Linked DNA regions of Mus musculus. The protein of the gene in region 1 interacts with the protein of each later gene in a pairwise test. Links are inferred from orthologs where the notes say so. Each region holds a gene or a part of one and is shown in the gene's direction. Other genes may lie near its edges.

Region 1 (3,648 bases):
ATTACTGATAAAGGCAGAATTATTCTAACAGTCCTCAATATCCTACTTGCTAGAGTTGGGGACCAAATCTCTAATTCATAAAGGAAACTTTATATGCAAACCATAGAGCTGTAGAGGTAAGCCATGCTGATAATGTAATTCCTAATATTCTAGATTATTTCTATGTCTATCCTGCAGATTTTGTGGTAACTGCTTCCAGCAGTTGTTTTATTAGCAGCCCTACCACTTACTCTCAATATTTTGGTATCAAAACCAGTTAAATTGGTTGTGATATTCTAATATTTTTCAAACACAATCTGAAAAAAAAATACTCTTGTGATAAAGTTTTGAATAAAAAGTTGTGCCTCCAGCTTTAGGGAGGAGGACCTCCTATACATTCTAATCAACCCTGTTTCAGAAGAAGAGGTAAACAGTGGATGCTTTCCCACCAATTAGTTCCTTTATTTGTCTTTGAGTTTCAGGGTTCATTGAGATAACTCAACAGTATGTTACACCCCAGCATCCATTTATGGTAGCCTTCAATTTGTTAACCACAGTGAATTATATCTGTCGGGTCAAATATAATAAAGATGACTGAAGGTGGTAAGAAAGACAGAAATTTCTCAAGAGAACTTGGCCAATTTAGTAAGTTTTATCCTTCCATTGTTTCCTTTTCTCAGTGTGAAAAGTAATTACCCACTTCCCTAATTACATTGTGTGTCTAAGGGGGACTTGTTTTTCCTTCTGCAGTCATCTGGTACCCAGCATGTTGGAGAACAAGCAGAGTTAAACTATATGCAAGGAAAGCTTTTGGTTTTACTTGATGCTGATGATAAACAGCCAACTCTACATATATCACATGCAAGCTGCTATCTGCATAATTACTCATGTATCTATGTACCAGAAATGTGCCAAAAGTTAGTTGAGTATTGTTTGAAGCACTCAAATGGTCTTACTATTAAGTACTGTTCGATGCACTTGGGTAATTTTAATCATTCCATTTCTTTTACTCTTCTTTTAAACCTTTATTCTTTTTACACTCCTGTAAAAGCTAAGATAGTAAGATATTGGCTTAGTCAGAACGACTTCTGACCTCTTCATCACCCCACTTTATTAAGACTAGGGAGGATCATCACTCATTGCTTGCTCAGAAAGTTTTCTCCAGAGTTGTGCTTTCTCAGTGAGAATTTTCAGATTCTCACAATCATCTACATCATAACGCTGTATTTAAGGTAGTTTTTAATCCAGGAAAGTGAAATCTATTTTGAAATAAAATTGAAAAGCCATTAATGAAACAGTTAATTTGCCTTTTGAGAATTCTCAGAAGTTTCACCACAGTGCTTAGGCACTACAAGAATGTGCCTTTGGGGAAAAAACATAGTTTCTGGTTGGTGTTACACCTAATCATTTTAATAGTTTCTGAATATCATAGGAAAAAGAGCATCATATAGGTGCACAGGGCACTCATTTCTGATCACTCCCACAAGCTTGCACATCAATGAGTCTAGGCTGGCTTTGTTATGTCTGGTCATGAGAGGAGGACTCAATTCAGAGTTTCTAGGAGCACTTCGGCTAGACTGTCAACCCCATTGGAAGAACAACCTAGGTTGGCCTGAACACCCAGTTCTCCCAGAGTCTAGACCACCAACCATGGAGTGTACCTGGAAGGATCCATGGCTCCAGATGTATATGTAGCAGTGGATGGCCTTACCTGACAGCAATGGGAAGGGAGGCCTTTGGTCCTGGGGAGATTTGATGCCTCAGTGTAGGGGATACAAGAGCAGTGGGGCAGGAGTGTGTGTGTGTGTGTGTGTGTGTGTGTGTGTGTGTGGACCTTCATACAGACAAAGGGGAGGGAAGAAGGCGGAAGGCGGATGTGGAAGGGGATGGTGGTGGAAGGCTAACCAGGAAGTGGGATATCATTTGAGATGTAAACAAATGGAGTGGTTAATTTTAAAAAAAGTTGAAAAAAATAAAGCTTTCCATATCATAAAAAAAAAAAATCCAGCATTAGGAAGAGCAAAGCTACCAGTACCAGATTGCAGATGGGGATAGAAATGGAGCTGAGTAGCTAAGCAGGGTTTATGTTAATTTTAGTTTCAGGTGAAATATGCTTAATATGTTTGTTCATACTATTGAATCCAGTCATTGACAGCAAAACAGAATGTGATTATATGTGACAATTCTGACATCATGGAAATTGATATGAGCTTAGCAACCATGGTCTCACACACACACACACACACACACACACACTATTGTTCACTAAAGAGATTATAAAATAAAACTAGTCTATTGCCAGTCTTGGAAAAATAAGTCACATAATAACAATAACCAAAGATTAGTTCTGCACTTTCATGTGACCTATAAAATGCCATTAACACCGTAGACAGAGGTAAATGACTATCAAGCAAGTTTCTATGGTCAATTGCTTCTTTGGGAACGTTTAGGCAACGTGATCATCTTGACAGATGGTTATCACACATGTCTTTAAGTTTAACAGAGATCTTCCTAGTGTTATCTAGGGATTTTGATTTATGTGAGATGAGGAGTATTTTATATTTTGAGCAAGTGTAATCACTGTTCCCTAGATCTGGAGAATTAATGGGTCTTGATTAAAGTCAGTTTATAAGCTGATAGTATCATAGCATGCTAGCTCTATTTCTGTGTTTCACTATAATGGATAATGGGATAATCACACTATGCTAGAAGCGATCATGGAGAGAAAAGGATCAGAGATACTACTCATTGCCAAATGTACCTAAAGATAAAACAACAGCTCACGCTATTGCAGGCCATCATTTGCCATGACCATTCTGATGAACCCCATGACTGTAATGCCATGAGTATTTCTAGGAACTTCCAGACAACCTGAAGATGGTTGTAGCTGTTATCACCAAGTGATGCAAACAACAAGATTGGGTTTGGGCTCTGCTTAAGATTATGCTTTAAAATTCTCTTGCTTTCACAACTCCAGTGTCATATATAATAAATGGCTATGACGTCTGTTATGAAGAATGCTTTAGTATTGTGAGAGACTATGTAACTTATTTATGGCTGTTGGTGAGCAACAATAGAATTATGCTTGTAATAATTAATACTGTTTTTTTCTAAATCTAGTGTTCCAGAAGCCTCACATAGTGTGCTTCATCAAGGAGTGGGATCTTTATCCTGACTTAGGTAGAAATCACCTTTCCCCCTTTCTCTTTACTCCAGAAATGTCGTCCCAGCAATATCAGCAGCAACGTAGAAAATTTGCAGCTGCCTTCCTGGCATTGATTTTCATCTTGGCAGCTGTGGACACTGCTGAGGCCGGGAAGAAAGAGAAACCTGGTAAGCAGTAGATTCACAGAGAGATGCTTCACTGGGTGGTACTCATGCACCCATGACTAGATGGTACCTTTGCAGACCAGCTCCCTGCCTAGTCCCTCCCACCATTTCTAACTTCCTTTTAATTATTTCGAGAAATGCTAAGTGATAGTTGTCTTGTATTATCCCATTATACTAATGAATGAATATGCCACAGCATAGTCATGAGTTGGCTTGTAGCTGGGGGAATCTGTCTTAGTTTGTGATCTAGACCACATTTATATCATATCTTTTTTTTCAACCAGACAAAACCAGACCATCCATTTACGATAAAATTGCTAGTCTGACAACTATTACTTA
Region 2 (4,258 bases), on another chromosome or scaffold:
CTTTAAAGTCCCTCAAAATTCTCAAATCCATGACAGACATATTGTACTTCTTACTGTACAGAAAAGGAAACAAAATTTATTCAAGATCATTCAGTTGTTACATGGCAGAAACAGGATTCAAAAGCAGGTTCAAGCCAGGCATGGTGGTGCACATGTTTAGCTCCAGCACTGGAGGCAGAGGGCTGTAAAGGCAAGAGGTTCTCTGTGAGGTTAAAGCCAGCCTGGTTTACAAATCAAGTTCCAGGATCGTCAGGGCTACATAAAGAGACATGTGTCAAACAACAGCAGCAACAACAACAAACTCAAAGGCAGGTCTGTAAATCCAGAATGCACCCCACCCTAAGCTGAATCAGCAGTGAAGAAATGGCCCCTTTGGCTGACACCAGGAAGACTTCAGAATAATCCTGCAGCACCAGGAGAAGTGCCCATCTTCCACCTAGAGGGGACTTCTCTCTTCCAAATATATTGCACACAATATATTGCTAATTATTAGGTACTTATGATATACCACACTTTTACGATATACTAGACTAGTAGGGTTCAAGCACAAGGCTGGCTTTACAGCTTTGCAAATAGTTCATTCAGTCACATAGGACCCTATATTCATACTGATCTAACCACACACACAGGTCTTTGTTTGCTTTTTTTGTTTTTATTTTTTTTTCTCCGTGGTGCCATGTACACTAGGCAAGCTCTCTATAATCCAGTTATATCTCTAGGCCAACAACTTTACATTTGAAATGTGTTTGTCTATGAGAACTCAAGGGATAGTAATATCTGCCCTCTCACCACAGATCTTGTCACGCACTCAATAAGGTGTTTGTAATGTTCCCTTACAACTTAGTCCTAGTGGACCTGCATGGGTGCAAAGCCAGAGTCAATGCTGCAGGATTCCACAGACTGTTGGACAGTGTGTGCAGGGGTCAAAAAGTAGAAGGTGCCGGGCGTGGTGGCGCACGCCTTTAATCCCAGCACTCGGGAGGCAGAGGCAGGTGGATTTCTGAGTTCGAGGCCAGCCGGGTCTACAAAGTGCCTTCCAGGACAGCCAGGGCTACACAGAGAAGCCCTGTCTCGAAAACCAAAAAAAAAAAAAAAAAAAAGTAGGAGGCAAGTGAGGACACAGGGACAGTACAGAAATCCATAACACATGCCACCCTTAGTCTGACAGAGAGCTTGGCACACTGCGGGCTCAGTCACCACAACAAATCGACGCTCACCTGGCCCGCAGTGTCCTCCCACTTGCAGGAAGGCCTTCTTTCCACTCAGGTTCGAACACAGGTTTAGTCTCCTGCCAGTCTTTTCTGATAGCTCTAGGCCAAGGGAGAGCCGGGGTACCGCCCCTCCCGGAGGCCCGCCCACCACACGCACAGCCACGCCCACCAACGTGTACTCACGCGAGATTTCGTCCTTGTCCTAGTCCGGCTGCTGGGCGCCGGGAGCGCTCTTTTCGACGCGGCGGAAGAGGTAAGCGGTTGTTCACTGTGGCCGCTCAGGTCTGCTGCGGGCGACGGGGCCGCAGGGCGGGGTTCTTTGGGCTGCGGTCCGCGCGGAAACGGCGCTCTTGTAGGGCCAGAGCAGCGGGCCGGAATCCCGCCATCCGCAGGCCGCACGAGGCTCCGGGTCGCTGTTGGGAGAGGCCGAGGTGTTCTGGGCCTGGAGGGCGTTTTTAGTGCCGTGTAAGGGGTCGCGTGCTGCCTGCGCACATCTCTTAGGTTACGTTCCGAAAGGGTCTTGCAGCGGGCCCACGGCGCATAGTCGACGCAGCTCACCACGTGGCCTCCAAAGCTTGTAGTCTCGGAACTGTAAAGTAGCGTACAGGTGGGAGTGATTCCTAGGAATTATCTTTGATTTACTCACAGGCATATCGTTGGGGCGACCGGGTCAACCTTAAATTTCAGTTTTGGTGGGTTAATTTAAAAAAGCAATTCATGTAGCGGGCATTTTGCAATCTAAGGTCGTAGTCACCCTGTTTTTCTTATCCTCGAAAGTTGTGATTATTTTTAGTTCTAGGATTTTGTGTAGCCTAGGAAAACTGTAGTCTTTTCTCCTTTAGTACATATGGCCGTTTTGCCTGCCTAATATTTCTACACCACGTGCACGCAGTGCTCACAGAGCCCAGAAGAGGACATCGAATCTCTTAGGACTGCTTACAGCTATTTTTAGGCTGGCATGTGAGTTCTGGGAGTCTCATCTTAGTCCATTGACAGTATTCTATTCATTTCTTTTTTGGGGGGGGAGGTTTCGAGACAGGGTTTCTCTTTATAGCCCTGGCTGTCCAGGAACTCACTTTTTAGACCAGGCTGGCCTCGAACTCAGAAATCCTGCCTCTGCCTCCCGAGTGCTGGGATTAAAGGCGTGCGCCACCACGCCCGGCCATTGACAGTATACTTAACTGCTAGGCTATCGTCTCAGCCATAATCTAAAGGTTCTTTTACACGTTGTTAGGATTACAGGCCTGTGACCATTTGATCAGTAGTGATTTTTGAGCCACTATCGCCATATCCCAACTACCCGAACTCTGTTTCAGTGTCGAGTTCGCAGCCCAGATTGGAATTAGAAATGCTACTGTGAGGCTAGGTGGTGGTTAAAGCCATGTCGGGTTTTGGGGGTAGATTTAGTGAGAAAACAAACTGCATTGGAATGTGGCTTCTTGTTTTCACTCACATATTTAAAGAAAACTATGCCATATGTGTGAGGGTACTCTGGAAGACAAAAGATCACTAACAGGGAGCTGGAGTTAACAGGAGATTGTGAGCAACCCGATGTGGATACTGGAAACAAGCCCACTCAGAGGCTTTAAAGTAGATATAAAATGTACTATCCATAGGGATTTTACAGAAATTCACACAGTGGGAAGGAGTATGCTGAACTTAGACTGCTGGTACATCATTGAAATCTGTGATTGCAGAAAATTGGGAAAGGCCGCGAAAAGTGATGGCTCAATCAGAAGTGAATTCTGTCTGTGTGGCATCGGATAGAGCTGGAGATACTGGAGACCAAAGGTAAGGTAGCTTTTGTGGGTAAACTAGAGATTCAGTCCAAATGTTCAATTTATTTTTGAGACATCTCAGTAGATAGAGCCATGGCTGCCCTCACCCAGGTAATCCTGCCCATCTACCTCTCAAGAGTTGGGATTAAAGGCATGTTACCACACCCTGCACTCCAGCAAGTTATTTGTAATGCTTGTACTTAAAATAGATAGAGAGAACCTCAATTAGCATTTATATTAGCTTGACAGTTTGATTAAAACTGTATAATTCTACCAACCTGAACATGTAGGAATGGAACATAGTTTATTTTTTCCAAGAAAACTACATTTGGGGGGCTAGTTCTGGTTTTATTGGCCCATTTTTGTTTAGTAGGTAGATAGTGGAAGCTTTAGTGATTAAGTGGTGCTTTTGAAAGTTAAAACTGAACATTTTAACCAACTGTCTTGTTTTAGATATAATAGTAAGTACTAGTGGTTAACTGGTACTGAATCTATTCTAAAATGCTGGGTATGATTTTAGGGGGTTGATCTTTGAAGAAATGCACTTTGAAATTTTAACATGGTTTTTAGGTTTGTCATGCTTTTGTCTGGTGTTCTAAGGGCAGTAAAGGCTGTTGGAGCTGTGAACTGAAGGAATGCATGATTGGGAGCATGGCCTTGAAACTCGGGGAGGATTATAGCTAATGATAACTGATGCAGTTTCATTTTTGTTTTAGTGATGACTCCTCTGATGGCAGCTTATTTAAAACTCAGTGTGCTCCTTCACCTATACAAAAGCAAAGACACCCTACTGTGAAACGTGTTACTTTACCTGCAAGTGTTGAAACAGATTCATCAAGTGACTCTTCTATAGAACCAAGGCCTCTGACTTTAAAGGCTATTTTTGAAAGATTTAAAAAAAAGAAACGGAAAAAGAGGAAAAAGAGAAAATATGAGCCAAAATTAAGACCAAGAGGAAGACCAAGAGGAAAACCATCGGGAACGAGGATCACTAGAAGGTCGCAAATAGATGCAAAACAAATTAAAGACAAAGGAGCTGTGTTTCCATTCTTAGAATCTGAGAGTGGAAGAAAACCTTTACCTTGGAAGAAAATTTTAACATATGAGGTGAGTTTTTTTTTTAAATGTAGGTGAATACATTAGGTAAGATTGAATGGTTTGTTGGCCATTCTTAATTGTTTGAGGGACACCTGAAACAGATTGTTACTTTTAACAATAGTGACATCCATATAAAGTGCTCCAATTTTCATCTCTTGCATCACTAGAGAA

What was found. The genes of interacting proteins can lie anywhere in the genome.
Region 2: the proteins of Ptn (region 1) and Taf1d interact in a two-hybrid assay, tested with the Homo sapiens proteins (2 studies listed by BioGRID and IntAct). The link is inferred for Mus musculus from reciprocal best matches to the Homo sapiens genes PTN and TAF1D.

The regions. Positions count from the first base shown.
Region 1 is NC_000072.6:36,744,053-36,747,700, reverse strand, and holds part of Ptn (pleiotrophin precursor), read left to right. Parts: intron 1-3,195; coding exon of another isoform or gene 3,196-3,197; coding exon 3,198-3,312; intron 3,313-3,648.
Region 2 is NC_000075.6:15,304,820-15,309,077, forward strand, and holds the start of Taf1d (TATA box-binding protein-associated factor RNA polymerase I subunit D), read left to right. Parts: upstream 1-1,394; 5' UTR 1,395-1,464; exon of another isoform or gene 1,465-1,629; intron 1,630-2,050; exon of another isoform or gene 2,051-2,171; intron 2,172-2,908; 5' UTR 2,909-2,934; coding exon 2,935-3,002; intron 3,003-3,705; coding exon 3,706-4,096; intron 4,097-4,258. UniProt on the Homo sapiens protein: Component of the transcription factor SL1/TIF-IB complex, which is involved in the assembly of the PIC (preinitiation complex) during RNA polymerase I-dependent transcription.